Solanum lycopersicum: one gene and its partners. The protein of the gene in region 2 interacts with the protein of the main gene of each other region in a pairwise test. Links are inferred from orthologs where the notes say so. Each region holds a gene or a part of one and is shown on either strand. Other genes may lie near its edges.

Region 1 (5,525 bases), on a different chromosome or scaffold from region 2:
TTCTTTAACTTCTAATCTTACTCCAAATAACATTGGTTTTTTTTCATCTTCTTCTTTCTCTGGATTTTTAGCAAATATTGTAACAATATTCATTAATTCTTTGCACTTGTTTTTCATGAGTAAAAGCTCAGAGCTAAGGACTCCATTTTCCATTTTCAACCTTTTATTTTCGTCGACAAGATTTATATACTCAGATGATGATGAAGTTGATGATGATGATCTTTGATCTTCTTCTATAATATTGTCTTTCTTGTTGTTTGGTTGTTGCCTATTTGTCCATGCTTTTCTTCGGCGAATTTCACGGAGTAAATTCTTTTCGCCCTTTTTAAACTTATCATTACTGAACTCCCATTGACTTGTTGTAATTTTACGAAAACCCTAATGTTATTTATGCAAAATGGATGATTAGAATAAATTTCAAAACAATCATATGAAAAATAAACATTCCATCCAAAAAAAAAAAAATCATCTCAAACTTAAACAATAATTATCTCAAAAAAAAAAGAAGAGAAGCTTCTTAATTAATCCATGAAAAATAGTGCACTTTTTTAATCTCCACTAACCTTTCCACTTAATTAGTGAAAACACTATTATTACGCATGTTAATTGAAAAGTATACAAATAAGACAAACTTAATCCAAAGTGATTAACTATTTTGTGACTACTTTTGACAACTAGCAATACATGCATCTTGTCTTGATAACCTATAATAATCATAATTATTAACCTAAGCTCTTAGCTAGTATGATTGATGTCAATAATATAATCATTATTTTTATGTTTACTCCATAATCATGATATGTAATTCTATTAGTTGAGCCCACAAAAAATCCTTGGTAATCTTAATTTGTATTAAAAATATTCTCTGAGGCTCATTTTATACGTCATTTTTCGGATTTCAAGAGTTAAACAAATATATCTTTAAAGGTAAATTTTTCATAGATCCTTTAAACATTTTGAATTATCAATTATTGTGATTTGTGTAGTACTTTTTACGTAGTTTACAAATATATAAATTTCATTTCAAAAAAATTAAAAATTATATACTCAAATTTCCGATTAAACTTAAACTGATTGACTTTCAAAGCTTAAAAGATCTCATATAATTGAGACATAGGGAGTAACAAGAATTAAGTTGTGTTCTTTAAATCCTTTTTACTTTAAGGCTGCGTTTGGTACGAAGGAAAATGTTTTTCATGTAAAATATTTTCCTAAAATATGTTTTCCTGGAAAACAAGTAGATTTTTGACTGATTTTCTCATGTTTGGTTGGTGAGTAGAAAATATTTTTCGAAAATAATTTTTAGTGTTTGATTTATGAATGAAAAATATTTTTAAGAAACATCTTTTATTTTTACTAGAGTAGAAAATAATTTCTGAAATTCAAAATACTTTTTAAAAACAAAATTATTTTTTTGGGGTGGAGGGGGGCATAGGGGGCAAGAGTGAAAAAATAAAAATTTAAACTTGATAATATTTTTTAAAAAAAATTGGGGGGGAGGGGATGGCGAGAGGGGGTAGGAGTTTAAAAATAAAAATTTAAAGTTGAAAATATTATTCAAAAGCAAAATTAATCTTTTCGGGAGGGGGGGCTGCCTAGTGGTGGGTGGGTGGTGTGGGGTTAGGATTGAGTGAAAAAATAAAATTTTGATATTGAAAATATTTTTTTAAAATTGATATTTTTTTTCCAAAAAAAATGTAATTTGAAATTAGAGGAGAGTTTTGGAAAATGTTTTCTCTAATTTTTTAAGGAAAGTCATTTTCTAATTTTAAGAAAAAATAAATTGATTTGAAAAACATTTTTCAAAACTTTTATCCCAACCGAACATGAGTAAATTGAAAAACATTTTCGAGAAAATATTTTCGTTCGTACCAAACGCTCTAAGATACCAACAATTAACTTTAATTATATAATCAAAAGAATCAAACTCCTCAAACTACATGTGATTATTATTACATTCTCTAGCTAGTTAAATACTTTTTCAATATCACATATATATAGATTAATAATTTATTTTCTATGTATTTAATAAAAAATAACTTATTTTGATGACAGTGGGAAAACAAATTCAATCTTTTTGAAAAAAAAAAACTAAATAAAATAAAATTAATTTTTAATAAATCACAAATTAAAATGAGAAAACGATTTATTTTCTTAAAGGATTTCTTTTTAGTAGGGAATAATTTTTGGACAAACATAAAAAATTAATTCAACACGTGTTTGTTTTATTAGCAACACGTTTTTTCAATGGATATTTTTGTCGGCAACTATATATATATATATATATATATTTTTTTTTTTTCTCGAAATAGTTTCCGATAAGCACATTTCCAAGAAACTTTCATTGGAGAAAATCATGTTATGTTATATTTATTGATTTGATATAAATATAAAATATATTAATATCAAAAAAGTCTGTTTTTTTTAATATTATATGTTTTGTTATATTTATTAATCTGATATAAATATTTAATATAAATATATTAAAAATTTATATTATATTTATTGATTTGAGGTAAATTCAAAATTAATATATGAAAAACTTAATGTTATATTCGTTGATCTAATATAAATCTTGAAGACGAATATATTAAAAACTTACATAGGTATTAAGTTGTCGAACAAAGCTTGAAAAGTTGCTATGTTTGAAGAGTGTAGGTAACAAATCCCTTGCAAATTCCGCCGGCTGCCATACAACAAACGCCGATCCATCGGAATTCCAAGAAACGAGGTCGTCTGTCGCCGGATCTTCCACCAACATGTAGGTTTTCAATAAAAATGGTGATGGTGATGACTTTTTCATCACAACATACTCTAACAAACTCTTTTCATCACTTACTTGACCTCCTTCTAATACCCCCATAACAAAAAAAGAAAGATTTTTTTTTCAAGAAAAATTGGTAAAATGAGTAGAGAAACACTAAATAAGCAACCCCTTTTGGTTTGTTTTGTTGTTGGAGTTTTTGAAAACCTAGAAAATTGGTAAAAACAAGAAATTAAACACACAAAAAATGAACTTTTTTTGTAATTTTTTTTTTTCAAGAAAATTGGTGAAATGAGTAGAGAAACACAAAATGATCAACCCTTTTTGGGATTTTTGATTATTTTTTTTTGTAGAAATTATTGAAATTATTTAGTTAGATAGAAGAAAGAGTGGAGAAAAGAAGAAGGGCAGTTAAGAACTCCCAACCCCAACAATAGAAACCTAACACGACACCGAAGTTCATGAGAAATGCAAAGATAACTTTTTTTTTTCTTTATTTTGAATTTTTTTTTTTGTGTTAAAAGAATGAAACTTTGGTATTGTGCTTACATCTTCTTATATAGTAGTAGTAGAATGAGAGTCATATATATATATATATATAAAATTTGTGATCGTGGTGTGATCGTGGTGTGACAGATAAAATCTCTAATTAAACTAGTTAACTTTATAAAATATCTATAAGACGTGAATATATTCATTTTTTAAATATGAATTTGTGTCGCGTAGATTCCATAAGGTGAAAATTGTTTTCTATAATATTTTCTTCATATTTTGGATAATTATAAAAAAAAAATTAATTGTGTATGTTGTAGCTATATATATTTAGTTTTATACATGTAGTTTCTTACTTTTTATATTTTTTAATTATTTATTGTCTATTATATTTTAATAACTATATTATTTTCTTGTTGTTATTGTTCTTTTGAATCTATGTACTACTTTTCTTATTAATTGACATATTCTTTTTTATTGTTTCACTTTTTTGTAAATATTTCAATTTGAAGCACTTGACTATAGAGAATTTTTAGAAAAATTAATAGTATTATTTCTATTTTTACGATGTAAGAGTTATATTATTAAATTTATATTTTATTTGTTGCACGGTATATGTTATTATATATGTTTTTGCTTAAGTTTTTAAAACGAACAAATGAAAAGTACTACTTCTACCTTATTTATACGGCATAATTTTCATATGAATTCAAATAAATCCCTTCCTTTAATTATAGTTAATTTTATCTCCAAAATCAATCATGTTAAAAGTTAATATATAACAATAAACTTTTAATAACAAGTTAAAATTTACGGTAGCCTCTAAAATAAAGTAATCTCATTATTGATAGAGTCAAGTTAGTTATTTAGGCATTATAAATATATCATTGTATATTATCTAAATTATTGTGTAATTATTTAGTTGTTTGACTTGAATTCTTTGTTTGAATATAATTTGGATACTATATCATTCTATTGCATTCTTTGTGTAAAATACCTCATTGCTACGTGTATTTTTTTGACTATACAAACGTGTGAGCATAAAAATGTTACTTATTCAATATATATTTAATGTGGAAACAACTACAAGTAGTTACTTACAAAATTATTCAAAATTTGGTCCCACTTGGGTTGAGATTATTATTTTTAAGACTCAAAAAAATTCTCAAAAAGTTAGGAATAGAATGTTTCAAATTTGGTGCTGTAGTAGAAGTAAAATATATTATGTTTCATTCATGTACTGTTCAATTATCTGATACATGTGTTGATTGGTAGTAATTAATTAATATATATATATATATATATATATATATATATATATATATATATATATATATATATATATAAAATAAATAAAGAATTTTGTAATAATTACTTAACAGTAATATAATTATTGCTATAAATATTTAGCAGATCAATAATTAATAATCAAGATTTTTTATAAGTATTTTTTGAAAAATATTTTCTTTATTTCTATGAAAAGTAGTGATAAGATTGTACTTATAAAATTTTACTGTGTATAATAGTAGTTGTTGTACTTTATATAAATATTGTTAGTAATTTGAATGACTCTAAATATAATGACATTAATTTAATTATTTACTAAATATTTTTGTGATGATAAAAGAAATCTATTGTTATTAAACCAAAACCAAATCAAAAGAAGAAGTCCATTTGAGTAACTATCACTCTAGATTTGCTAGGAGAAAATAAGCACTACAAGTGGCAATCAATATATATATTGATAATTTAGTAGTAATTGTTTGTAGGGCCACTGTCTTTTTTTCTGATCAAAGGTATTGACTAAAGAATTTTTGTTTGTATGGATAGTAGGTAACGATAAGTTGGTGCAGTAAATGATATTAAAAAGAAGTCTATAATTGATTTCCTCAAATTAAAGTTAGTATATTTTGTATTGAGTTCGTTGTATCAAACTTCCTAAGCTATTAGACATGAGTGGCTTTAGCTTTTAAACAATCAAAGAATAGCGATGAATAAGGATATACAAAATCGAATTAAATTGTAAATTAAGTTAAATTAAAATAAAATTAATGGTTTGATTTAATTTGATTTGGTATTAAAAAAATTCGACAATACTAGTTTGGTTTGATTTTAACTAAAAAAAAATCAACCCGAGTCAAATCAATTTGACTTTATATATATAATTTTTAAAATCTAGTTTATACATAATAATATTTACTTTGATATAATTGTTAAATTTTAGTTATACTTTTTTCATAATTTTTTATCTTTTAACATATTTTTTCAA
Region 2 (4,912 bases):
ATTATAATGAATATTTGGGAAGATTCCCCAATTAAATATAATTTGAGCGGTCTGCTAGGTGAAATGGGCCCCACAGTCCTTGAAGCACGCGCCTGGTCCCACTTTATCTCTGGACCCCTAGCCCCCACCACCTACCTCTCTTTAGATATTTTTTTAATAAATTAAAGTTCGATAATTTTAAATTCGCAATTTTGAAACATAATAAGTCGTTATAGATGATAAATTATTGAAAATTGCACTCAACGATGTTAAATTTTGGAAGTTTTTAATATAACTCCATTAACATAGCAATTGTTTATTTTCACGTAGTAAAAAACAAACATGATAAATAAGTGTTCACTTTTTTCATTAGTATATATAAGTATTCGATAATTACACTATATTATATCAACTTGGGGTGATTAGGTAAGAAATGTACCACTTAGTTAAGAAAAAAAAAACACAGCCTGTTTCCCATCTACATTATACTTTTTAGAAGAATATTCTTCTCAAAAGTCTTTATTCTATCACGAAAATTGATCTGGAATCATCAAAGATTATAGTATAATGATAAAAAAAATCAGACGTCTTAAGCTCAAGTTTTGATAATGAAACTACTTTTTAATAAGAAACGTTTTACCTTTCAATGCGAGCCTTCTCAACTCAAATTTAGATTAGTCGAATATCGAATATCAGATGAAAAAATCGACTATCGGGAAGCTTCTATTTTTGACCCACTAGACAAGGTGGGCCGTGGGCCACACCACGACCACCAATGGAAGTATACCACTCTACGCAAACCCAAAACTGATCCATCAAAAAGCCCAAACGGGTCCCCACTCTTCTCAAAGTCCTAATCCACTTTCACACGTGCGATACTCACGTGCACGTCTTCAACACTTTCTTTTTTTTTTTTTTAATTTTAAACACTAATCACTTCACTTAAAAAATGTCTTTTCAGAAACTCACTTTATAATTTTTCTCATTTCCCAAAAACAGATCATGGTCAAAAGTTTGTCTAGTAAGATTATTAATTAAGTTTGTTTGTGCTGCCAGTTGGCAGATAGAAATTTTTAGATAAATATTACGAGGGCAAAGATAGTATGGAAGAGTTGGATGAACACTAATAGAGCAAACAAATATATCTTCACTTCGAGAAAACTTATTTTTTCTATTTTGACCGTCCACGAAAGAAAGTAATATTTTGTGAAAATTGTTTATAAGTATGGGTGAGAAATAAAAGACCAAATATTTGATGCCTAGTAAGTGCAAGAATGACACTTATGTGACATATAATGTAGTGAAGCACTAAGTAGGTTAGGTTAATTGGAAGTAATTTGATTTCCACTTCAATGAATTCTAACTTTAGGGCTTGAAAGACATGACAATTAAAATAATGCAAATCTTTAATACACAGTTAACTAAATTATAATAAAGCTGAAGGATGATAATGTTTCCTTTGACAATTATACAATGATTTATTTGTAATTTTTCTAAGAGAGTTACACATCATTCAACTTCTAATTAACATTAGTTTAACAAAAGCAAAAGAAACAAAATAAAAAGTGAATAGCTAGTGTCCTCTAGTAGTTTGTACATACAAGAGTATCATGAGCATATTTGGCCTAAACTCTGCCTCTATATTTATATTGATTCTCAATAAATTATGACGATCACTTGAATCTATGAACGTTCTGAAGATGTAACTTGAGTTTCTTGTTGATGATTTCCACTTCGACTCATAAGCTGTAACTCTTTTCTATCATAAATCTCAAGTGAAAAATCTCTTAGCATATGAGGTTTAACATCATTTGTATTGTTGTTATTTTTATCTGTGCTAGAGCTTAAACTAGCTGGAGCCATGCTAGACTTGTTCGATCCAATTTTAGGCCCCGTGGTTGTGGCTGCTCCATTATTCACTGATAACGGTCCTGCAATCATTATTGCTGGCGGACCGTTAGTATTAATCGTGGCTGCAGTCACGAATGATGGTATTGGCCTCGTGGCCAAATTAAATACAGGTGTCCATAATTGAGGATACTGGAGCACGACGTTATTGTTATTGGTCACGTTTACTTGAGCTGGTGGGACCGTAGCTGGTATCATCCAAATGGCATTGGATGGTACCATCATACCACCATTACTCATACCCCATACCGGTACGAATCCCGGCGGTGGAGCGGTGGTTATTGTTGCCGGCGTGGTTGTTACCGGAGCAAATTGTGAAACATTTGCAGCATTTCTATTCAAACTTCCGACATCAATGAACTCTGAGTTTGATGATTTCCTTCTACGTTTCTGTGGATGGTTCTCGTCGATTTCTGGATTACTCGCCGGGGAACTCGTCGGAATCTTAAGAGTACCGTTAACAGAAACTGCTATCGCCGGTACAGTTCCGGTTCCGGTAGCTTCAATTATAGATTGCTCCGCCTGTTCAAGCAACCACCGAACAGTTTCTCCGTCGGACTTATGACCTAGTTCTCGGGTCAATTGGAAGATCCGAGCTGCACATGTAGCAGGTATTCGGATCCTCCGTCCACGTCCTTCTACTTTTGTGTGGCGGTCCTTGGTAGAGGACCTCCGCGGAGGGGCGGCGGTAGCTACCGGCATAGGCATTGATGGAACCAAAGTATGATGATCGGAATCAAACGGTTCTTCTTTCATAGCGGAAAACACGAGTTTTTTGTCATCGGCAACTGCATGACCGTCCATTTTCTGGTCATTTAGATCTCCGGCAGCGCCGTTACTGAGCTCGGAGGTGCCACAATCATCATCTGGGTCATGAAAACTGGACATATTTTTAATTTTTTTTTTCGGAAAAGAAGAAGAAAAAAAAAGGTGTGAGTAGTGGGAAATGGGAGTATGAATCAGACGGTGGAAGTTGAAGAGGTATATAAGGGAAGAGTGAGTGGGATGATGACACGTGTAGGGGTAAGAAAAGTGTGACTTTTTCTGAGTGGACCATACTGACTGCCACAAATGGTCCTACAATTGGTGTAAGAGAAAAAATGGATCTAAAATGTGGCCCTCTCTCCCTTCACTACAATAAGGTCCCCACCATAATAAGGGGAGCTCTACTTTAGGGAGAGGGGTGGGTGGGTTATAGGTATACTCTTTCTTTCTTTTTTTTTCTTTTTTTTGGGGTGGGTTGGGGGGTTAAGTAGGGAAGATACTTTTAAATTTAATGTGAATTATTAATATCATTTTTAAAAATGTTTTTTTTTAACTAAACAAACTTAAATATAATCCTAATTGAAATACACTTCTAAATTTTTATCAAGTTTATGATTGTTTTCAACACTTAACTTGACTTTTTATTAAGAATATCATGCTCTTATAAGAGTTTGAAGTCACTTGGTATGTTGTATGACAGATTGGAGATGAGTCGATGGTGTATTTAAATTTAGTTAGTCAAGTAGATGAGTGTTTTTAAGGTTGTTAATAGTTTAAGAACGCAACTAATAATTTACCTCTAGTTTAGAGGTATTTTATATATTTCTTTCTTATTTCTTCATTCGATGTCCGGTATCCATTTTTTAGAGGTAGTTTCTATACTTCTTTCTTTTTTCTTCATTCGATGTCTGGTATTTATATTTATTTCTTTTTTCTTCATTTGGTGTCCGTTCTTTTTCTTCATTTGATATCTAGTTTCCAGCTCGACTAAATTTGAATTCATCTTGAAAAGTCTCACATTGAGGGATAAAACACTACCTAACAAAGGTGACTCTGTAACCAAGGATACTTGAATCTAAGCCCTTTGGTTAAAGATGAAAAAGTACTTATTATATCACTACAATAAAGTATAATAATATCAAAAAAAAATTATGAGTATTATATTATGCGTTTAATTAGGAAAATTATTTCATCATATGTATTATAATGATTGAATAAGTTATCTCAAATAACATGGTGAGATAACTAATCTTATGGAATATCACAATACATGAGATAACTGTATCTATTTGATATCCTATGCCAAACAACTTCTAAGTGCTAATAATATTTTCGATTAATCAGTTTTTTAATTTTATTTTGAATTTTTAAAAATGATAAATATTTTGAAATAACTATTTAATGGAAAAAATAAAATATTTTGAGACTGATAAAATAGTAGGTTTCAAAACCTATATCACCTATGATATGGTAAATTTGTGGCTCGCAAATTGCTTAGATTGAGTATTTTTTTAATTTTCTTCCATTATCATCTTCTATTCATATTATTTACTTATCTTTTAAAAAATCACAATTTTAAATAGATACTACTTGATATTTTTAAGAAAAGCTTAATAAATAGTTAATTTTTTAAATTTGTTATGATATTTTAGTTAGACATCCAAATTATAAATATTCTAACTGAATATCTCAACTTCTTAAAATATTCTAAGGATACATTTTCGTCTATTAAATAGTTAAATTAAATAAAATAAAACATGTCATTTAGGTATCTAACATTGGACTGATTATAGAATTTCTAAAAAAAAAGTTCTTTTAATAGGAATACAAGATAGGGAAAAGAGTAGAAAAATTTATGAACTCATTATGTCAATATATATGATTTACAACTCCTTTTGATACTCTCATAATGTCCATTTATGACCTCATTTATTGATTTTGGAAGTTTAATGACCTCATTTTTCAAACAAGTTTTCATTTTATTTTAATATCAATGAACAGAGTTATGAGTTATTTGATATTTATTACTGATGAAAAATGATAAATATTTTGATAATTAACCTCAGTATACAAAACCTGATCCAAACATCACGTTCATATAAAAAAGTTAAAAGAAAAACATGACCTCGAGAGGCTAATCATAGAAGTACCACTAGATAGAGAGTGAGTAACTACTTCATTGGATGTTTTGGGGGAGAAAATTAATCTTCAAATTTTCCCTTCCTTTTAATGTATTTTTTTTAAAAAAAAATTATCCTTG
Region 3 (5,714 bases), on a different chromosome or scaffold from region 2:
CTACCAGTTTGCTTCCTAGTGTAGGGCATCTTTCTATTGAGAGGGAAGAACATTTTCTTTTAAATGCGGGAAGAAAAATCAATTCTATCAACTTGAACTTCAAATAAGGTAAAGATAAATAATGCTTGTTTGAATGAAGTTCATTTGAAATCTTAAAAGCTCGTCTAAAACATGAGTGAGGGTGATTCAATCAAAGAGACTGGAACAATTTGTTGGAAAATCGTCCTCACAGTCTGGGCGCCGGCTCCAAATAAACTACAATAAGACTAGACATCATTTCAACCAGAGCTCTTCTTTCCCTTACTATTCATCCCAAAAAATAGTCACTTGGTTAATTGAATGTATTTCTTGTTCTTTCAACTTTCCTTTATCTTGCACAGGAAGCAAATAAAGTTTCAGTACTCCAATTTCTCTATGAGCTCGTGAGTAGATTAAACAACAAAATCCATGGCACTAAGGTAATTTTTGGTTTCATCTAAATTAACCCTCATCGTCTAATAGTGAATGCATTGACCCCCTCCCCCGTATGATGTGCTCGTGTTGGCCATATCTGGAACTCATGATTCTGCGTTTGGAAGGATTATGATTTATGAGGGACTTTCATACACTTCAACATGTGTTTTAAAAGAAGGATACATTTTGAAGCTTAAATGTCAAAATGGGATGCCATTTTGCAAGACTTGATGCCAATTTTGAGTGTGTGTGGTGTTGTTGTCTCCCCACTTTCACAGAGAAGCCAATTTACTCTCCTTTATTTTACCTAAAAAAACTCCAAAAGAGACAACACAGCTCCTTAGAGCATTTTTGGGGAAGTGATGGAGGTGAACAGTTCGAGTGTAAAACAGTTGGAACGTTCTTTGTAAACCTTGATGAAGCTTGGGATTAGATGACCTTGTAACATGGATTGTAGCTGATTGTGAGTAAATGTGAAACATATGATCTGAACATCCTGCAAATAGTATTTACTCTAATCAGACAGTGGTATGCAGAGCTTCTAGAGTTCTAGAGCATAGGAATTTGTTGTGGGTCGTTCATACCATAGAACTGTTCCTGGGATTGGGAAAGATGCTAAAACTTGGACCTCATCCAAGTTATAGAAATTACCTAGTAAAGTCAGGTTTCCTTTTTTATAGCAGAAATCACTCATGTTTGAAAGGTTACCCATGCTGTCACGCTAGCTTGAGAAGCTATATCTCTCATTGGAAGATGTACCATGTCATTATAAGATGCCTAGTTGGACCCTACTGTATTGCTCAAATTCTTTAAAAAACAGTCTTGTTTTGTTGATGTCTTTTTGATCTTCATTACATTTTTTCAAATGTTGCAGGCAATTGTCGGTGAGCTTTGGTACGTTGAGGAATATGACATATTAGCTCTTGCGTTGGATGGGAGAATGAAAGTCCGCAAGTTCCAGCTTGGCTGTTCGAAAGTGTGAATCAATCTATGAGAATGGAGTATTGAACCTTTCACCACTTGCTCCTGTATGGCAAAGACATTAACGTATCGATGGGGATCATACGAATTCTGATGTGCAGAAATATTCACTTCCACTATATATACAAAGGAGCGCTAAAAGTTGGGATATTACAATGTATAGTTTGCTATTCGAACATTTTCTGCATGATATTTTAAATTTATACTATAAGTTTGTTAAAAGTATGTGGTTAACATTTTCTAATGTGTCAAGTCTTTGGTGTAGAAGTAAAGTTGGTGTCAAATCTATACCTACTATTATAAAAATGAGCTGAATTTTATCTTATTGACTAATGACATATGCTTTTCTCTAAGTTGATCTTTGTAACTCTTTACACTCGGAGATGCCACCTAAAGACTACTATTACTACACCAGTACACCACAGATTTGCCACCAACTACACTCGCAAAAAGAACCATAAGAATCAACCCCAAATCATACGATCTCTTTTACGCCTTCATCATACCATTTTCTTTGGTCAATATCTTAGTCCTATCTCGATGGCCATAATGTTATATGTTGTAAATGATTTAGGAATTGAATATTATGTATATGTATGGGTTTAACATTAGAATATGTGAAGCCTAACTATTAACGAATTCTTTTTGTAAAGTTCGTGGGTAAAAATTAGACCTTTTGTCCTAAATAAAATGAAGGATAAATTAAAAATAAAAATTGGAGGATAAAGATTTAATAATTTATGTGGATTGTAGCAAGTGAGAGGAGTGGCGTGTGTGAAAGGTCAATAAAGATGACATGAGATGGGAGCGAGTGGAAATTGCAAGCATAAACGTGTAGGGCTTTGCTATTTGACAAAAAAACAAAGCTGGCGTGGCACGCATCTCATGCGTTCCCCACTTGATTCTTCCCACCACCAGCTGCTCGCCACACGCCCCTCCCCACCCACAACTTATTAAAAAACATACAATCTTTCTTCCTTCTTCCCCTAATCCGACTCTCCTCTCACCATCCCGTTTCAGGTATAATTTTTCTTTCTATCTGTTTCACATTTATTGCTCTTATCCTTTCAATCTTTCTTATCTTTAAGCCCTATTTCTGATGTGCTTGAAATGATTTCTTTTGGGGTTGCGCTTTTAACAAAATTTTATTAGGTTTTTTTTATTTTTGCGTAGGCAGAGAGCAGAAGTCATGGGGCTTCTTTTACGAATTTTTTGTTCTTGCTTTGGTGAAGAATTGGGAACTAAAGGTTTTTTCTTATCAATAAATAGTTGATTATAGAAAAATGGGGATCAAATGCTGTTATTTACTACCCAGTCTTCCGAAACAAAGAGTGTTTCTGCTTAGTTCGCTTGAATTTTACTTACCTCAATTTAGGAGTTCCGCTGTTTAATAGCATAGCATAGGAAATAGATGGTGAAGTAATGAGAAATCGGCTAAGTATACCGTGTTAATGCTGAAAATTTGTTACTTCAAATGAACTTAGCTTGATTGTTCATCATTTGACAAACTTTTGGACAATCCTTACTTGCACCTTTTTTTCCCTTGGACAGACAATAGTTTTTCTCATCAAAGGCTACACCGTGGACTCGAATAAGAGATGGATACAGAAAATCCTGCTCCAATAGTTGAAAAGGATACTACAGATGCGGAGACATCATTGGATAGGTCAGTTCTCAAATTTTGTAGCCTGAATGTCATATTGGTTTTTTCCCATCAAGTATGGGAATCTGCAATAAGCCTGTGACATCTTTGTTGTTGAACTTATAATGTGATTTTTTATAAATCAAGTGTGGTATTATTAAGAGGCGTCAAGAAGATGCAAGAATTACAAGACGTGGTATTTGAGCTTACCAAAAATCCCTGATTGACTATATTAATGAGTTAATTAAGTCCTTAAGTTGTTCTGCATTAACAAATTGGACCATTACAAATTGGCAATACACTTTGCCTTGAAGATTCGAAGTTGACTACCTATCAAAATATCTCCTATTCCTCTCTAACCAAATACACCAAAAAATACAAGTAGTATCAAAATCCAGATCTTCTTGATGACTTTGTCAACTCTCCATAGGCAGTTCTCATGAGCATCCTTAACTGAGAATGGTGTGGCCAATTAAGACCAAAGAGACAAAAAACATGTTCCATATTTTTGAGGCCACCTCACAATGAAGAAGATGTCGGGTGGTTTCAGCCTCTTTTTTGCACATATAGCATCTGTGTGGGAGCTGTATTTTCCTTCTCTATAGATGGTCTTGGGTAAGATGCCTCATATAAAGCTGTCCAAGTAAAACAAACAACCTTAGTTGGCAGCTTGGTCCTCCAAATAAGTTCCCAAGACCAGTTGTCTACCATGGGAATTCTAGAGCATATTTGTTGGTACCCTGCCTTGATTGTATAAATTCCATCTTTTTGGTATCCCCATTTAAGCTTGTCAACTTCATGGGGATGTTATTTTCATGCAAGTTTGATGCCAAAATTGCTTCTTATTCAAAGCTTAGCGTCTGGTTTTGTTACATTTGCAAGGGCATTGACCCTTGTATAGATAGTGAACAGATTTATGTATCCATGGACGCGAAAAAATTATTCTGGATTGGGTGGGGATCCTTTTTACTTTTGATACTATAGAAATTTCATGTGAGTTAGCTGGCATACTGATCAGCTCAGTAGGGATCTTTATGTGGTTGATGATACCAGCTTTGCAGCAACAATTTTTTTCACAAGTTTGACACATTATAAAAAACCCAGAACCATACTTTGTTCATTTGTAGACTGTCTCGCCATAAGTTGGAAGGTACTATATGCTAGTTTGCAGTTCACATAGTAGCTTTAGAGGCTTAATTTTATGATGCCAAGGAATTGTCGCTTCTTATTTCCAAAATCTACGATTTTCAGCAATAATTTAGCCCTTTCTGCAAGTCTTAACTTAGCAACAGGATCAGTTTCTAACTGACTAACTTGCAAAAGGTCCTCACAAAATTTAGAGAATGTATTTCTGCCTCTTCAAAACTCTATTCTTGCATCTTTGAATCCTCATTAAAGCTCCCAATCTCAGGATAAATACAGTAATAATTTGTGTACTCAGTTCATGTATTTATGTTGACTTTGTTTTGCCTGCTCTCTGCATCATTATCAGTGGCATATCTACACAAGTACTGATTGTAAAGCTCTCTTGTTACAGCTCTCATCTCAGGAAGAAGATTCAGAAGAAAGTTCCAAAAAGAATTCACAAAGCTGAGAGAGAGAAAATGAAGAGAGAGCATTTAAATGAGCTTTTTCTTGGTTTGGCTGATGCTCTTGGTAATTTCTTGATTGATTATAACTTACCCATGTTCACCTCTGACAAATTGCGGAAGTGGTCCCCTTAGTGTAATTTTCTGTAAAGAGATTGGCTAATTTATTAGACGTGGGTGCCTTACTGGTGCAGAACTATCTGAGCAGATGAATGGAAAAGCCTCTGTATTGAGTGAAGCTGCTCGATTTGTAAAGGACATGCTTTCTCAGATCAAGCATATGAGGACAGAAAATACGACTTTGCTGTCTGAATCTCAATATGTAAGTGTCCTAATTTCTGGGAATTTTGCGCAGCTTGGAGATGCTGCCCATTTCTTCTCTTTTTTATGTCCTTCGAAGTTTGAACCTGGATTCACATAGAACATTGTGCCACTATACGGACATGGTATATACACTAAATAGGATAAGTATGAGGCCCAAACTGAGAAGAGTTGCACTCCCCATGAGTTGGCCTTCTAATTATCTAATGTGAGCTCTCCAGTAACTCAAGAAGGATTACCAAAAAATAAGACAGTGGGATTCATTTTTTCATGAATGATTGATTTGCCCTTCATTCCTCATCTAGGATGTAGGATCCACTCAGTTGTGGTCTATACATTACAGCTTCACATATATTCTGCTGTTATTCTTTTCTAATTCTGCTGTCTTATTGACAGCTTAGCGTGGAGAAAAAGGAGCTTGAGGATGAAAATACAGTTCTGGAGGCTGAAATTAGCAAACTGCAGAATGAGGTCAAAGCAAGGGAAGCTGAGACTAGTCTTGACCTAAATCTAGCTCCTCCTGAAATTCATCACACAGAGTTTGCCTCACAAACTAACTATATGAGATTGCCTGCTTCGGAGCACGGATTTCAACAGTCACAGATGATGAACCCCGTGTACGTCTTTCCCTTGAGTTCTAATCCTCAGGCTTATCCAGCGCCTGATGCTGCAGATCCCATGGCTATGCCCTCATCTACTGTGAAGAAACCACAGCCTAGATACCCCAC
Region 4 (4,715 bases), on a different chromosome or scaffold from region 2:
GGGTTAAGATCAGCCCCCCACCCCCAATATCTAAAGCCATCTGGGGATGTATGCGGCAACAGAGGATTTGAGGTCATCTGCATTTCTTTTAATATTATTCAAGTTATAAGAGAAACAAAAACATCTATCAAAGTTGAGAGATTTAGAGAAGTATAATACTAGTATATATGTAAAATCATGCAATATTCTTAATGATTATTTGATAATAAGAAATTCAAATAATTAGGATGGTTTCCTCAATCTAATTCATGTAGTTAAAATTTCTTTTCTTGTGTAGTTGACATTTGTTTTTATGTCACCTACTGTTAATTAAATCTTTTATGAAGGAGCTTCTTATATGATGTAACCTACTCAATTGAATAAAACTTTCTCTTCTTCTTTTCTCCTTTTACTACTTTATGAGAAACACTTGATGTGTGCTGTCAAGCAGTGTGCAATTCCGTCAGTCCCAATTTGTAGGTGCCAGTTGACACATAGCTAAATATGCAAAAATTGACTAAGTTAACTTCCTATTGAATATGCAACAGAACCTGCAGCTCCTGGAAAAGCATCTCATTAAAGGAAAAATGCAATATTATTATTAGGCTTTTAAACTTTTTTTTCAAGGTTTCAGTTCTTAACAGGGAAAAAAAGCCAACTAAATTGGGATTCAGGGAGTAATATATAGAAGGGGATGAAAATAGGGAAATGTATCTCTCACCCAAGGATCCACCAAAATACAAATAGATGAGTTTCCACCTGTTGAGCCATTTGAAATAAATGAGTTAATACTTCGATACAGATTCCCATATACAACTTGGATAACTTTTCTCCAGATAAGTATGCTCAACTTGGATAAGGTTAGATTTTTCCCCTTATTTATGATATTGAGGATTCATACACTCGGCCCAACCCGAACTAGCTCGGTATTGCGGTGTAATTCTACTCACTTTGAGTAAGGCTATGAATTGATTTAGCAAATAATACCGTTTAAACCTTTAGAAATTTTTCTTGGTGTAACTTTCCCAGGAAGGAAATGCATTTCAAACCCACATATATCCACATTCCTCCTTATACCTGCTAAACATTTCCCAATATCATTGGTTTTCTCTTATTGGTTCCTTTTCAAACAAAATCAAATGATAACCTCTTGTTCCTGAAAGCATTCTCTTTGAATCCAATCAAAGGTCTCATAGAGAGATGCTGAGGAGAGAAGCACATTTGTAGTTACTCCATCCTTCTAGAAATTTTTGTCGAGAGGAACGGACAAAAAGTGGCAGAGCAAAACAAAAAAGATTCCATATTACATCTGAGATTGTTTACTTGATTGTAACTATATGGAGATATTGGAGATATATGTTGAGTTAGGACCTGCTGGGTCCCTAAACTATGTTGATTTACAAGAGGTGCAGAAATTGAAATGAACAATTGATAGGCTACTGGCGTTGGATGTTCATGTGCCAATTTAAAGTTGAGTTGATAATTTCACTTAAACAGTACTGGTTTGGGTGTGTGTCCTGGGGGGAGGAGCTACTTATACATGCTCTGTAAGATTTTGAGGCATGCGTTCTTTATTTTGAGCATTCTGGCATTTTATTTCCTCTCTTTCTGTAATTTTATTCTCTTTTTTCCTTCTCACATATTTGCACACATGAAGTCATAGCATCACTGTACTAGTTGCTAACACTTCCCTTGATTTTTGACAGTTTGTGTTGGATACAAGTTGGCGAGTCGTTGCTGGTGAAGAAAGCAATGACATGGAGGTTCAGAAACAACGGGAGATGAGAGTTCTCGAAGCAATTTATCCACGTGAATCTTCCATTCCTCCAAAGTATGATTCTTCATTCTTGTAGGATTCTTTTTTCTTTCTAGCCTGTTCTGGTAATGCATTGTTGTGATGAGAGTCTAAACAGCCTCTCTACCTCACAAAGGTAGGGGTAAGGTCTGCGTACATCCTACCCTCCCCATACCCACTTGTGGGATTACGCTGATTATGTTGTTTGTTGGTTTGTTCCTTCTAAAAGCATTTTTTAAAAATTCCTTTTCCATTGATCTTGTTTTAGTTCTAGATGTTACTTCTTTTAAATTGTTCTTTTTTCCCCACGCAGTCCTTCTATGGGTCCTGGAGATGAAACCCTTCATAATGATCAGCACACACCAGTTGTACCCTTAACACCTGTTGAAGAGGAGGAGGTAGCAGATCCTTCATTTGGCACTGCTGTACCTACTAATGGTGCCAGCTCAACGGCCCAGGTAATGCAGTCAGGAGTTCCCTTGGGCAATAGAAGTGCCGGAAATAGCCTTCCAGTCCATGGAATCTCATCACCGGGAGGTGTTCCTGGCTTGGGGCTTGATGCTGTAGCAGAAGCTCAGGCAGCTTTAACTGCATTCATGGCAGACAGTGGCCAGGGAAATCTGATTGATCGCGATCTGCTTATAAAAATTTTGAGTGACCCGAAAATTGTTGGGCAACTGGTTACACACCAAGGAGTAGGCACCAGCTCCCATAGCGTGCCAGCTATGAATACCCAAAGCATATCTGCTGCTAATCTCATGCCCAACGCAAGGCCACAGGCATCAAGTATTGCTGCTCCATCTCAACCTGTAGTTAGTCGAGCCAATCCATCTTTCTATCACTCAGGTAGGACAGATCCTCCTCCAGTTCAAGTCAGTAGAACAGAACTAGTTATCCCCTCGATGGCAGGTGCTACAAACGGCCCCTTCCACTCTGCTCCAAGTAGAATAGGACCCGTTTCCGGTTTGAGGCCTCGTATACCCGAGGCCATGTCAGCTCCTTTACCAGCTCCAGTAGCAACTATGTCAACACCTACTTCCTCTATGCCAGCACCTGTAGCTAGGGACATCAACTATTACAAGTCTCTCATTCAGCAGCATGGAGGAGAAAGGCAAGAAACATTACCACCACAATATAACAACCACCGAAACAACCAACAGTTAGGTTCAGTTCAAGAATCACAAAATAGCTACAATTCAAGAGATTCAAAACCTAAGATAATGAAGCCTTGCATCTATTATAATAGTTCACGAGGATGCCGGCATGGCGCCAACTGTGCGTATTTGCATGATGCATCTCCCCAACAGAGGGGGGTGGGTAGCTTGCCAGAGGTCCAAAGTTCAAAGAGAATGAAAATGGATAGGGAGATTACTGGTACATAATAATGCAGCTTGGCTCTTCTCTGTACATTAAAATTTTTTCTCAAGGGAGGAATTGCTTGTTTGCAACTTGGCCATTTTTGCCCCCTTTTTTTCCTCCATTCCCCTACAATGAGTCAACTTCATTAAATATTTTACTTATGGTTCTAAATTTCAATTACAATACAACTTTCTTCTCTGCTACTTTTTTTTCTTTTATTATGATGCTTGCATGATGTCCAATACCTTTTATGAAGTTATTTTGCCTAGTTATATGCTTTAGTGTTGATGGTAGTTGTACCTATAAGGAAGTGTATATAAACTTGACTAGCAAGGGTCCGGATTAGTGTCTGTGGGTACGAAATGGTCTTTGTTAGCGTTTTAAAAGAACCCTTTCAAGTGTGGGACTTTTCAAAGTTGGGCTCCAATGCGGGTACTGAACACTAAAAGGAAAAAAAAACTTGATACGTCTTTCTTGAGGTGAGGGTCTTTTGGAAACAACCTTAGTCTTTGTTAGAGAGTGTTTTAAAAGAATCCTTTAAGTGTGGGACTTTTCAGAGTTGGGCTCCAATGCGAGTACCAAACATTGAATGAGAAACTAAAACGAAAAAAAAACCTTGATATGCTTTACTTGAGGTGAAGGTATTTTGGAAACAGCTTATAAGGTAGGAGTAAGGTTCGTGTACACAACACCTTCCTCATATTGCACTTGTGGGTTTAGATTGAGTTTGTTGATATTGTATATGGTTCTGGGAGTTTAATATGATTTAGTAGGTCAATAGCGTAAACAGTTTTTTACACTTGCTAACGTATCGAATAGTTCTGTGAGTTTAACAATGATATAGTAGGTCAATAGAGTAATATTTTTTTACACTTGCTAGCGTATCTAACAGTATTAGAAACAAATGTGGTTCTCACCACGGATCAGTAGGAAACTTATGAAAAGAATGTGATTTTCTCGCTCATTTCTCACCAAATCAGCTCACAAGGAAAAACAATGATCGAAAATATATTAGAGAAGTGGAAAATTTTGTAAGTTTTCTATCTGAAACAATTACTAATTCTTTGTTTTTTTATTTCAACATGTTAACTTAAAGTCAATAAATTTTAAGTTCGGGGTATATTTGACTTTTCAAGCATTATGTTATACGTGTCTTTCATCCTATAACTAAATGGACACGTACGATCTTCTACATCTTTCTAGAATAGTAACAATTGTTCTCTTATCACAGAGCACAAATGTAAAAAGCTCACAAAGGAAATAAGAGTAAAGTCGAAAGTCGAAAGTAGAAAGTGTAAAAAGTTTTTTTTTTCCTTTTACGGATTGAAGATAACTTACATTGATGGTTTATTTGTATGTGTGTGATGTCAAAAGTTGAGTCTTTAGGACTACGCACTTCAGTTTTTCATAAAAGAGAGAAAATTATACATGTTAAGATGTTGTATCGATATTTTCCACTCTTAGATTGTAATGACATCTTTTTTTTTATAGGATATTGATATTGAAATGACATAAAAGTAAAGTTTCTTCGTTGGGATGTAATTATGATTCTAAAGAAATAAAAGAACTATGTTGCGAAGCT
Region 5 (4,404 bases), on a different chromosome or scaffold from region 2:
AGTCATTGAAGTATTAAAAGGACAAAAATAAAAGAAAAGAAAAGAATTTTTTTAAAGGGAAAATTAAAGGAGAAAACACCTCAATTGAATCATCATGATCAGTATATGTAGTTTTTTTTTTTTTTTTTTTTTAGTTTTTTCTATATCAATTATATACATATTTCCCTATTAAATTTTTTTTACTTCACCCTTTTCCTCATATGAAAATGCATACTTATAAAACTTCCAAATTTCAAATGCTCTAAATTTAAATCACAAACTCAACTGAAAAATCAACAAATGGAAGCAAAGAAGACCCCCAATAATATATATAAGTAAAAAAAATGAATTAAATCACACTATCAATTTATTCAAAAGATATCTACAAGTAATTTTCCATAAAAACGAGATTTGAAATCTTTCATAAAATATAATTTTCTTTACACTTTTGGTGTGTAATATATAAATTAAACTCAATATACATATACATAATACAAATTGTACAAACATGCGCACACGAGCACAAACAAGTGCGTGAGATTATACCAGCAAGAGTAGTTGTGGAGTAGTAAGTACTCCTTTATCTTTAATCAGAGGTCTCGAGTTCAAGTCCTTCTGAATACAGAGTCACCTTTATTAGGAAACACTAAATCCTAATATGAAATTTTCCAACGCTAATCTAAATTTAACCAGACCCCCAGATACCAAATTGAAAATCGAAAAAATAAATAAATGTGTGTGAGGTGGGCCAAAGAGTATAATCATATTCAATTTCTTCTCACGTCACTGTTTTATTCCCGGGAGAGAATTCAGCCAAACGAACTTTTTGATGATCAGAAAAAATAAATAGATAAAAACCATATTCTATAATTATTAATATACTAGTATATACCAACATACGTAACTCAACTCTAACCGTTGTGATGATTATCATGCCCTTTAAGTCAACACAATCCTAACAAACCTATTTTTTTTAGTTCACAATTCACATGATCCACTATACACAAATAATTAATTATTCCTCTATATATAATATTTTTATTCTTAAAAATTCCAATTACTACACAATAATAATAATAATAATAATAATAATAATAATAATATGACCTAACTAATTACCAATTACCTCATAAGGTGGATCCAATGTAGTGTTACCAACAAAAGTTGTAACATTATTGGTTGTAGTACTACTAGAGGAGCCAAGAATCAGACCTTTTGTACTTGGTGTGACAATATTATTTGCCCAATTTTCATTATTAGGGCATGACGATACTGGTATCTGTGCTGGTGGGAGGTTATGATTCGATGATTGTAATTGACGGATTTGTCTTTTTAAGAACTTAACATAGCGAATTGCTTCGTCTAACATGGATGCAGTGTCCATTTTTGTTCCACCAGGGACTAATCTTTGCAAGATTCTGATTTTTTCACTTATCCTTTCGCGGCGTAGCCTGGCTGCTACGCTTTGTGGATCATTGCTTATACGTACGTTACGCCTTTTAGGTTTTCGTATAGTGGATGGATCAATGTCTACTGGTTGCATAGATGCAATTTTGAACATCATTTCTTTCATGGCTCCTAGCTCTTCTTCTTCCTCTTCATCTTCGTCTTGATCATCGTGTTCTTGATCCTCTATTAGGGTTTGAACATGGTTGTTTAACACATGATCAAAAGGGACAACTACTACTTCTTCTTGTTGTTGTTGTTGTTGTTGGGTTGAGGAGGAGGGAAGGTGATGGTGTTGAGGGTTTTGAAGAGGAAAACTAGGCCAAATAGGGTTATGTTCGAAATGAAATTGTTGTTGATGATGATGATGTTCGTGGTAGATATGGTCGTTTGGTATACTGGACAAGCATGGTTGTTGTTGTTGTTGTTGATCGCGAAAGACTTGTTGGTTGTCCATATTGGACATGGTTGGATCCCAAGTGGAGGTAGTGAGTTTATTAATGTGGTTGATATCCATGGTAAGAAGAGTATAAAGGGTGAATATATCAAGAAAGAAGAAGAAGAAGAATATCTATTGTGTTTTTTTTGTGTCATTATGAAAATATTTTTCTCATATTTATTGAAACCCTTTAACCAAAAATTGTAATTAAAAAGAAAAAGAAAAAAAAGAGGGGTGCAAAAAGGGAGGTGACTTATTGCAAAGTTGAATCAAAGCTCATGAATATGTACTTTGTGTGAAGCCTTTGAAGGCTAAATAGTACATCTTCGTAGGGTAGTGAAAAGGTGTAAGTTATATACATTATGACATACACAATTCGTACATATATATTTACATGTATATATGTCAATATATAGAGGGACAAATGGAAGAAGGGGGTGGGGGTGTTACAAACTTTATTGAGTCTCTAATAAAAGTAAAATGCGGAGCCGAGATTTAGAATTTGTTAAGTTGAGATTGTAGTAATCATTTTTAAGTTACTAGTCTAACAACAACAACAACATGCTCAGTCGTTTGAGTTGTTGATCTAACAACAACTATTATAAAATTGTAAAAATAAATATATGATATGAATCAAAGTATCGTAAACTATACTCCAGCTCCGAGCTAAAATAATAATTATTGTGGGAGGGGGACCACAAGATCAAGTTATTTTCAAAAATAAATAGATAAACAAAAAGAAGTTTCTATTTTTGTGAGGGTTGTGGGTTGGGGGGGAGTGTGTTTCAAAGGCCATAAATGTCCTACTTTTGCTATATTGGTATACAAGTGCATTTAGTAGAGACTTGTTGCCTTTGCTTCATCCCTAGAATTTATCTATTTGTTTTGCTTAATTTGCTAGCCATCAAAATCAATTGATAAATTCTTCATGACTTGGGTGTGATCTAGAGGTTAATACCGCATGAAAATATTAGAAAATAATTTCAGATTTTTATTGATTTTTATAGGATTCCTATTGAATTGAGACTCGTGTCATTATATAGGAAGTATTCAGATTTGTATTTATCATTTTTTTCTGGAAAGATTTATTATTCTTTGTTGTTCCTAATTGTTAAATTATGATTTCATTCTTTTGTATGATTATTTCAAATCATTATAATTATACTTATATGCAATATACTATATAGTCACACAATTATTTTCTATTAGTTTGTGATATTTGTGAGTTGGTGAAATCATGAGATAGAATACACGTAGATTTTTGTTAATTTTATGTAGATACTTCTCAAATGAGAATCGTTCCATTTTTGTATTTACATCTATGACGATCTATCATATTAATCTTCAATGTCAATTCTATATATATATTATCCCTACTAATATGTTATGCTATAATATTTATTCTCATTGATTACTACATCAAATCTCTTTAATTATAAACTCATATACATTATCATATAGTCACATAAATATATACAATTTTTCTATATGCGAATCATTCATCATGCGAACATTTCCCTCAAATTAACATTGGTGGATCTAGAATCATCAATTTGCCTACTAGAAACTGATAATGTGTTGACCCGTGAATTTTACAAGTACAACAACTATTTGAAGATCTTCGAAAATGTGCGAAAGAGCAATAAATATTTTATCTATAGTTTTTCTTATATAATGACAATCTACTTAGTAGTAATCTGAATAACAATTGTACTTCATAAAGCCAAAAAAACTTAGAGCTAGTGATATTAGGCATATATTTATACATTTTTTGGTCAAATATTTTTCATGTTGATTCATCTTTTCACTTATTTCTATTTTCTACCATATGTTTTGCTCTTTTAATTGCTGAATAATAAAAGTGATAAAAAGTAGAAAGAAAAGGAGACACAAAACATGACTAAACATAAGTAGAACAGAAAAATTGATTCTAAAAATAAGACAACATTTCTAGAAACACAAAAAAATATTAGCATATGAATAGATCGTAAAAAATTGATCAAAATAGAAAGTTGATCTCAATATAAGTAAAAGATATTCTCAATGAAAAATACCTCATATTTTAATTATTTTTTTTAAAAATACACTTATGTGAATCGACTATATTCATTTATAAATATCTCAAAGTACTTGAATATTCTTGATGTCTATGCTTCAATTTTATTAGTTATAAAAACATGAAAATTCTAGAAAAACGAAGAATTAAAATGAAACTTTCAAATTTTAGATTTTTTCGCGATTATCATCTTCGAAACATGATCCTATACAAGATCATCTTTACAAGAAAAAATCACATCACAATTGTTATCTATCAATTCTCCAACTAGCTATAATATCATAATCTAGCAATCTCAAAATTGAAAACATTGACACAATCATTTATTATACTATTTCAGGAATAGATACATGTCGATATTATTTCAGGAATAGATACATGTCGATATGTTATCGATAATAAAATTATTTATCCTAACTTAAAAAGCATTGATCTTACTATTTTCATAGTTGGTGAAGGGGATAATATTGTTATTGTTGTATGT
Region 6 (5,768 bases), about 1.3 Mb from region 2:
CTTTTTTACATGATCCAAGAAAAACAACAAGAACAAGAACTGATTCTGGGGTTCTGATTTTTTGGGGATATTAAGGTCCTATATGATTAAAGTTTTTTTTTTTTTTTGCTACAATCGAAACTATAGAGATATAGATATATAGTGAGAGAAAGTTGAAATTTTTGAGGAAGAAAAAGAAAATGCTTACAAAGAGAGAGAAAGGAGGAAGGACAGGACAATATAAAATGAGGAACAAAAAATATAAATTTAGGTTTAAGGTAGAGATAAGGTGGCAATTTGGTAATTATGTGAGGGTAGGTGGCTTCATTTTTGGGTAATATAGGAATTATATATTTTTGTAGATTTAGATAATGTAGTTTATTAATTTATATTCCATCTAGTGGAGACACATGTTTGTGAAAAATCTACCCTTTTTTTTATTAAAAAAAAAACAAACAAATCTAGTCATTTTGATTTATTTTTATCATACTTCTAAATAAAGTCTTCTATACAGTTATTTTTATTCTTTTTCTAAATAAAGTCTTCTATTAAGTTGTTTTTATTTTATTATATTTCTAAATAAAGTCTTCTATTAAGTTATTTTCATTATTAAAAAAATCTTCTATTAAGTTATTTACTATTAGGTTGTTTTTATTTTATTATAGTTCTAAATAATGTCTTCTATTAAGTTATTTTCATTATATGTCTAAATAAAGTCTTCTATCAAGTTTTTTCAAGTAATTAAACTTTTTACTTATTCAAACATATGATATATGATTTGATTTTGTGGTCAATTGGATATTGAGTTATTCTAAGGAATTCTTTAATGATGTGTGGTTACAAACCAAATCTTTTTGGTAAGATTATTTAAATAATTATGTTTATTCATTAATTGTATGATTAGTTTTAAAAGGCATTTTCACATATTGGTCAAGCCATTTGAAAAAAAGGAAACTATATATGGTAAAGCACAAATGTTTTTCCAAAAAAAGAGACCTTTTTCTTTTTGAAATTATTTATAGTGTTTGACTTGAATTGCTAAAATGTATTCTACATTGCTATATTTTACCCAATTAAAAAAAGAAGTAATTTGGTTAAGAGCCCGTATGATTGGCTTAAAAGTCGATCAAATTTATTTTTTAATCAGTTTTTAATTTTTGAAAATATTTGATAAATATAAAAATAATTTAAAATAAGTTTAAAATGACTTAAAATAAGTTACGAAGTTTTTGACAAGATAAAATGACTTGCAATAAGTAGAAACCAAAAGTATGTATTTCCCTATTTTTTAATTTTTGACTCAAAAGTTATTTCAGTTTGACTTTTTATTTTTGATTTATAAGCTAATTTTTTAAGTTAATTCAAAGGGCTCTAATTTATTACGCGTTGATAATTTTCCTGATCAATACATATTTCAAAACATACTTTCAACACATCTGTAAGGGTGATTGAGTAGCTGATATATTAAATAAAAACTTATAAGTTCGAAATTTCGTATTAGCTTTATTTTTTTGATTAAATTGATCACACAAATCCTTTTTTAATACGATTTACATATAAAACACATTTCCACTCAATCAAACATTACAAAATTTAAGTAAATAATTTTACGAATTTACGATCTTAATTTTACTAGCATCTAAATTACCTTGGTACCCTCAAAATTTCTAAAGCTAGACCGACAAATATTCTTTTTTAAAAAATTAATTAGATATCATTATGAAATTGATTTCCTTCGAATAATTATAAGTTTTGATATTATAAGTGCCGTATTTGAACGAAACATTCTTTCTTTCGCAACACAAATACATGTCCTAGCTAGCAAGAAAAACAAGTCAAATTTTAATATTAATATTTACTACCCTAATTAGTAATCCACAAGACTAATATTGCAAAAACGTGTGGAATATTTTAGTGTTTTGAGGTTTGTTTGATATGAAATGAAGAAAACATTTTTCAACCTCGAAAACAAATAATTAAGTACTTATTTTTTACATTTTGAAAATAAGTAGAATAATATTATTTTGACCATAGTCTAGGCTAGGTGGGTGGAGAGTTAGAATTTTATTTTTTTTTACTAGATTTATATTTTACGACTTATAAGTAAGATTTAATTTATATTTAATAACTTACGTCTATTATTTAAAATTTAAAAATAAGTATTTAATAACACTTTCCAAAAGTTTTCAAATATTATAACAAGCTATTTTAACTTAAATCATTTAAAATAGATCAATTTAAACAGATCCTCAAAATGATGACATGAAACACTCAGTATAAAATATCACGTATGTAATTTATTTTCATTGGAGTTTATTGTTAAAAACATGATAAATTGAAAAATATTCTCTTTCATTACAAAACATTCTCTTAATTTTTTTATATATATATTTTTTAAACATTTATGTCAAAGACATTTAGAATACTAGTAGGTCAAACACGTCTTAAAAGTATACTACGTAGTAGATGGAGAAGAATTGATCAAAGTAATGACAACCAAAGTTTTTGGAAATTACGTTAAGAGACTTTAGTCCAAAGGAAACTTTGTTTGCTTTTACTACTTAGGCTAAAAGACAAAAATAAAATAAAATATATCCTTATCTAACTCTTTATGTAATTAATGAGATGTGGAATTTATTGTGCATGTATATTAAATAATACAATAATAATAATAATAATAATAATAATAATAGTAATAATAATGAGAGAAGAACAAGGATGTCCCTCAATAATAGAGGGACAATTCTGATTTGTTTTGAGTGATTGAAACCAAAAATAAATAATTTGGTTGTTGGTACTTCCAACAATATAGTGAATCACGTGATTTTTAATAGGGTTTTGAATAATTTAATTGCTTTTTTAAGACATTGACAGTTGAAAATTACTTGCTACTCAATTAATTCAAGAACATGTTAGATGACGAAATATATTTTTTAATCTTTAATCAATTGAAAATATTTAATGTAAAGAGTGTGTTGGATATGAAATATCAATAGTGTGGAGTACTAGCTCAATAAGCTTAGATAGTAAATGAAATTATTTTTTTTTTAATTAGAAATTTCGAATTAAAATTTTAAATGTAAAAAACTTTAGTAGAGAATGTTCCTCTTGATAGGGACCTACACGGCACAATTTCTGAATGATCGGAGTTTAATGAAAATACGAATGGAAAAAGGAAAAGTATAACATATGGATAAGTAATAATTAAGTGAGGATTAATTGATTTTATTACTAATGTCTTGGTTAAACTTTTAAAATTTAATATATTTAAAAAATGTTTTTGTAAAAAAAGTAATTTCTTTTAGAAGTGATTTGTATTTTATCCATGTAATTTAAAAAAACATTTATGTTCTTTAATTATATATTTGGCCAAACCTATATTAAGGTGTTTTTAAGTGTGTTTTTCTCAATAATAGTTTTGGAGAAAAAAATATTATTTTAATCTTTTGAAAAAAACAATTTCAATTACTCCCTATTAATATTTATTTTCTCCCGATAGCAAGCCAAACTCCTCATTTCTTTCAAATAATATGATTTTTTTGAAAATAAATAAATAAATACTCTTGGTCTATCAAAAAAATGCGAAAACCTTTTTTAAAAAAATAAGTATATAAGTATTTTGACATTTTATCAAATGAATAAGTGATCACAAGTTAATTCACCGAACCAATAAAGAGATAATTCATGCCTATATTAATTATGTAAAAAATTATTACGTTTTCATCGAAAATATTTCATTTTCAAAATTACCCACCATAGTTATCAAGGATAACATGAAAAGTGAAGTCTCTTTATCATTAATAAATAAAGTAAATTCTTACCTAATGATATTAAAAAAGATAAATTTATGCATTGTCGGTGCTCAGAATTCATCATTAAAAAAAGTAAAAAAAAAAAAAATTATTTTGACTTATCCATATAAGACTCCAAAAAAAATGGAATGTTTTAATGGAAATCTTTTTTCTAGCGGAATTAAAGATTCTATGTTTTATCATTTAGGTTCAGTCAGATAATTAGGCACGTAACTATAATTGCGGTATGCTTTTGTATGGTATAAAATAAAAAGACTAAAAAGGAAGGGATAAAGAAATATAAAGTTCTAATTTCTTAAAGAAAAGATATTTATGTGGTTTGAAATTTCTCTTCGTTTATTATTATTCGTCATATTTTTTATTTTCAGAGGAAGGGACAAAGAAATATAAAGTTCTAATTTCATAAAGAAAAGATATTCATGTGGTTCAAAACTCTCTCCGTTTACTATTATTCGTCATATTTTTTTATTTTTAGAGTTAAATTATAAGAATTTTAATTAACATTTAAAAATATATTTTTTGATCATTGATATGCAAAAAATTATAATTTATAATTTTTAATATATAATTTTTTATTTAAAATATCAAATTAATATAATCTAATTTAACTTTGAAAATTTATCAAATTGACTTTCGTAAAAACGTAACACAACAAATAAAAATAAACGAAGAAAGTACACTTTAATATAAAAATGAAAAAAAAGATTATCATGTCGTTTTGGGGCTATCTTTTCCTCTTCCTAAATTACGTTTGGTTAGTATTCAAAGAATAAAAGTTTTATGAGTATACACTATAGAAGAGGAAATATCTTTCCAAATTCAAAATTCGAAGTTTCATAAAAATTTTATATCAAATATGAATTATCATAATAAAGTAAATTTACAAATAAATATTAATTGATAAAAATAATTATTTTTTAGCCCCCCTCAATCATTATTAAATTTTAATTACTTTGATATTTAATTAAATGATTTTTCTTTAACTATTTGAAATGTTGCAATTTTGATCCCTTTTTATGTAGGAACCAGAATGTAACATATAAATTTGTCTTTAGAAGCACATCGCACTCATATGCATACGTAACAACACAAAATTAACACAATGCATGTGTAATTAAATAGTTAAGCGATAAGTATTTTAGAAAATTTTAAATTTTTACAAAAAAAAATCAAAACTATATATTTCAAATAAATAAAAAACAAATTTTAGCTAATTAAATATTATAAAAATTAAAAATTATCAATAATTAAAAGATCACTCAAAGTGCTATCAACTTTTTTAGAGTCATCTACAATAACTATTAAGTTTACATTAATCAATAACTAACCATCTAAATTCGCCTGAACTTCTAATCTCGAATAACAATATATCTATTTTATAATTTAAATCACAACTTATTTCGATCTAAACTTTACTTTCATAAATTACAATCACTTTGTGAATGATACCATTCTTTGGGCTAGGGTAATTTTTAAAATGGTATAGTTTTCCACAAGAAATGAATAAAAATTAGTGGGAACCATTTTATAACACAAGATAGGAATATTCTTTATTCATCGAGAACATTTAACATTGCTTAAGTAAGAAATAAAACCATACTAGGGTAACAACAATTAGTAGATGATTAGACAACAAAAAAATTTGATTTAACCCATCATTAGGTGCTTTTGCCGTACAAATTTAGGTTCTCTCTCATTTTATATATAATATTAATTTTGACAAAAAAATTAAAAAAATATTTGATGATATATTCTGTATTTTTAATCCAACTCAAGCATAGAGGTGGGGACGCACCTTCATGTCTCTCTCATTCACACCCACAAAATTATGAGCAAATTGCACATGAGATTCTAAATTATTTTAAAGTGAAAGATTTTATGAATAAAAATGTTTTATTCTGTATTTTGTTATAAATATAATTATCATATTAAATTTTTTAAAAAAAATATATTTCAATTTGTTCATACGAATACTTA

What was found.
Region 1: the proteins of TCP20 (region 2) and heat stress transcription factor B-3 interact in binary tests that used the Arabidopsis thaliana proteins (3 or more experiments, as listed by UniProt). The link is inferred for Solanum lycopersicum from reciprocal best matches to the Arabidopsis thaliana genes TCP9 and HSFB3.
Region 3: the proteins of TCP20 (region 2) and transcription factor bHLH47 interact in binary tests that used the Arabidopsis thaliana proteins (3 or more experiments, as listed by UniProt). The link is inferred for Solanum lycopersicum from reciprocal best matches to the Arabidopsis thaliana genes TCP9 and PYE.
Region 4: the proteins of TCP20 (region 2) and zinc finger CCCH domain-containing protein 6 interact in binary tests that used the Arabidopsis thaliana proteins (3 or more experiments, as listed by UniProt). The link is inferred for Solanum lycopersicum from reciprocal best matches to the Arabidopsis thaliana genes TCP9 and AT1G19860.
Region 5: the proteins of TCP20 (region 2) and transcription factor HEC3 interact in binary tests that used the Arabidopsis thaliana proteins (3 or more experiments, as listed by UniProt). The link is inferred for Solanum lycopersicum from reciprocal best matches to the Arabidopsis thaliana genes TCP9 and HEC3.
Region 6: the proteins of TCP20 (region 2) and transcription factor KUA1 interact in binary tests that used the Arabidopsis thaliana proteins (3 or more experiments, as listed by UniProt). The link is inferred for Solanum lycopersicum from reciprocal best matches to the Arabidopsis thaliana genes TCP9 and AT5G47390.

Annotation. Positions count from the first base shown.
Region 1 is NC_090803.1:7,239,381-7,244,905, forward strand, and holds the start of heat stress transcription factor B-3, read right to left. Parts: upstream 3,345-5,525; 5' UTR 2,864-3,344; coding exon 2,603-2,863; intron 379-2,602; coding exon 1-378. UniProt on the Arabidopsis thaliana protein: Transcriptional regulator that specifically binds DNA sequence 5'-AGAAnnTTCT-3' known as heat shock promoter elements (HSE).
Region 2 is NC_090807.1:65,637,570-65,642,481, reverse strand, and holds TCP20 (TCP transcription factor 20), read right to left. Parts: upstream 2,844-4,912; 5' UTR 2,776-2,843; coding exon 1,663-2,775; 3' UTR 1,433-1,662; downstream 1-1,432.
Region 3 is NC_090802.1:62,691,428-62,697,141, forward strand, and holds the start of transcription factor bHLH47, read left to right. Parts: upstream 1-2,205; 5' UTR 2,206-2,454; intron 2,455-2,607; exon of another isoform or gene 2,608-2,681; intron 2,682-2,985; 5' UTR 2,986-3,032; coding exon 3,033-3,100; intron 3,101-4,613; coding exon 4,614-4,732; intron 4,733-4,859; coding exon 4,860-4,987; intron 4,988-5,382; coding exon 5,383-5,714. Other genes in the region: uncharacterized protein, read left to right, coding at 381-458, 1,328-1,435.
Region 4 is NC_090811.1:66,583,826-66,588,540, forward strand, and holds the end of zinc finger CCCH domain-containing protein 6, read left to right. Parts: intron 1-1,685; coding exon 1,686-1,810; intron 1,811-2,087; coding exon 2,088-3,156; 3' UTR 3,157-3,336; downstream 3,337-4,715.
Region 5 is NC_090810.1:1,210,290-1,214,693, reverse strand, and holds transcription factor HEC3, read right to left. Parts: upstream 2,077-4,404; 5' UTR 1,943-2,076; coding exon 1,091-1,942; 3' UTR 980-1,090; downstream 1-979. UniProt on the Arabidopsis thaliana protein: Required for the female reproductive tract development and fertility.
Region 6 is NC_090807.1:64,304,101-64,309,868, reverse strand, and holds the start of transcription factor KUA1, read right to left. Parts: upstream 3,872-5,768; 5' UTR 1-3,871. UniProt on the Arabidopsis thaliana protein: Transcriptional repressor. Direct regulator of the transcription of peroxidase (Prxs) and reactive oxygen species (ROS)-related genes via the recognition of 5'-ATCACA-3' motif.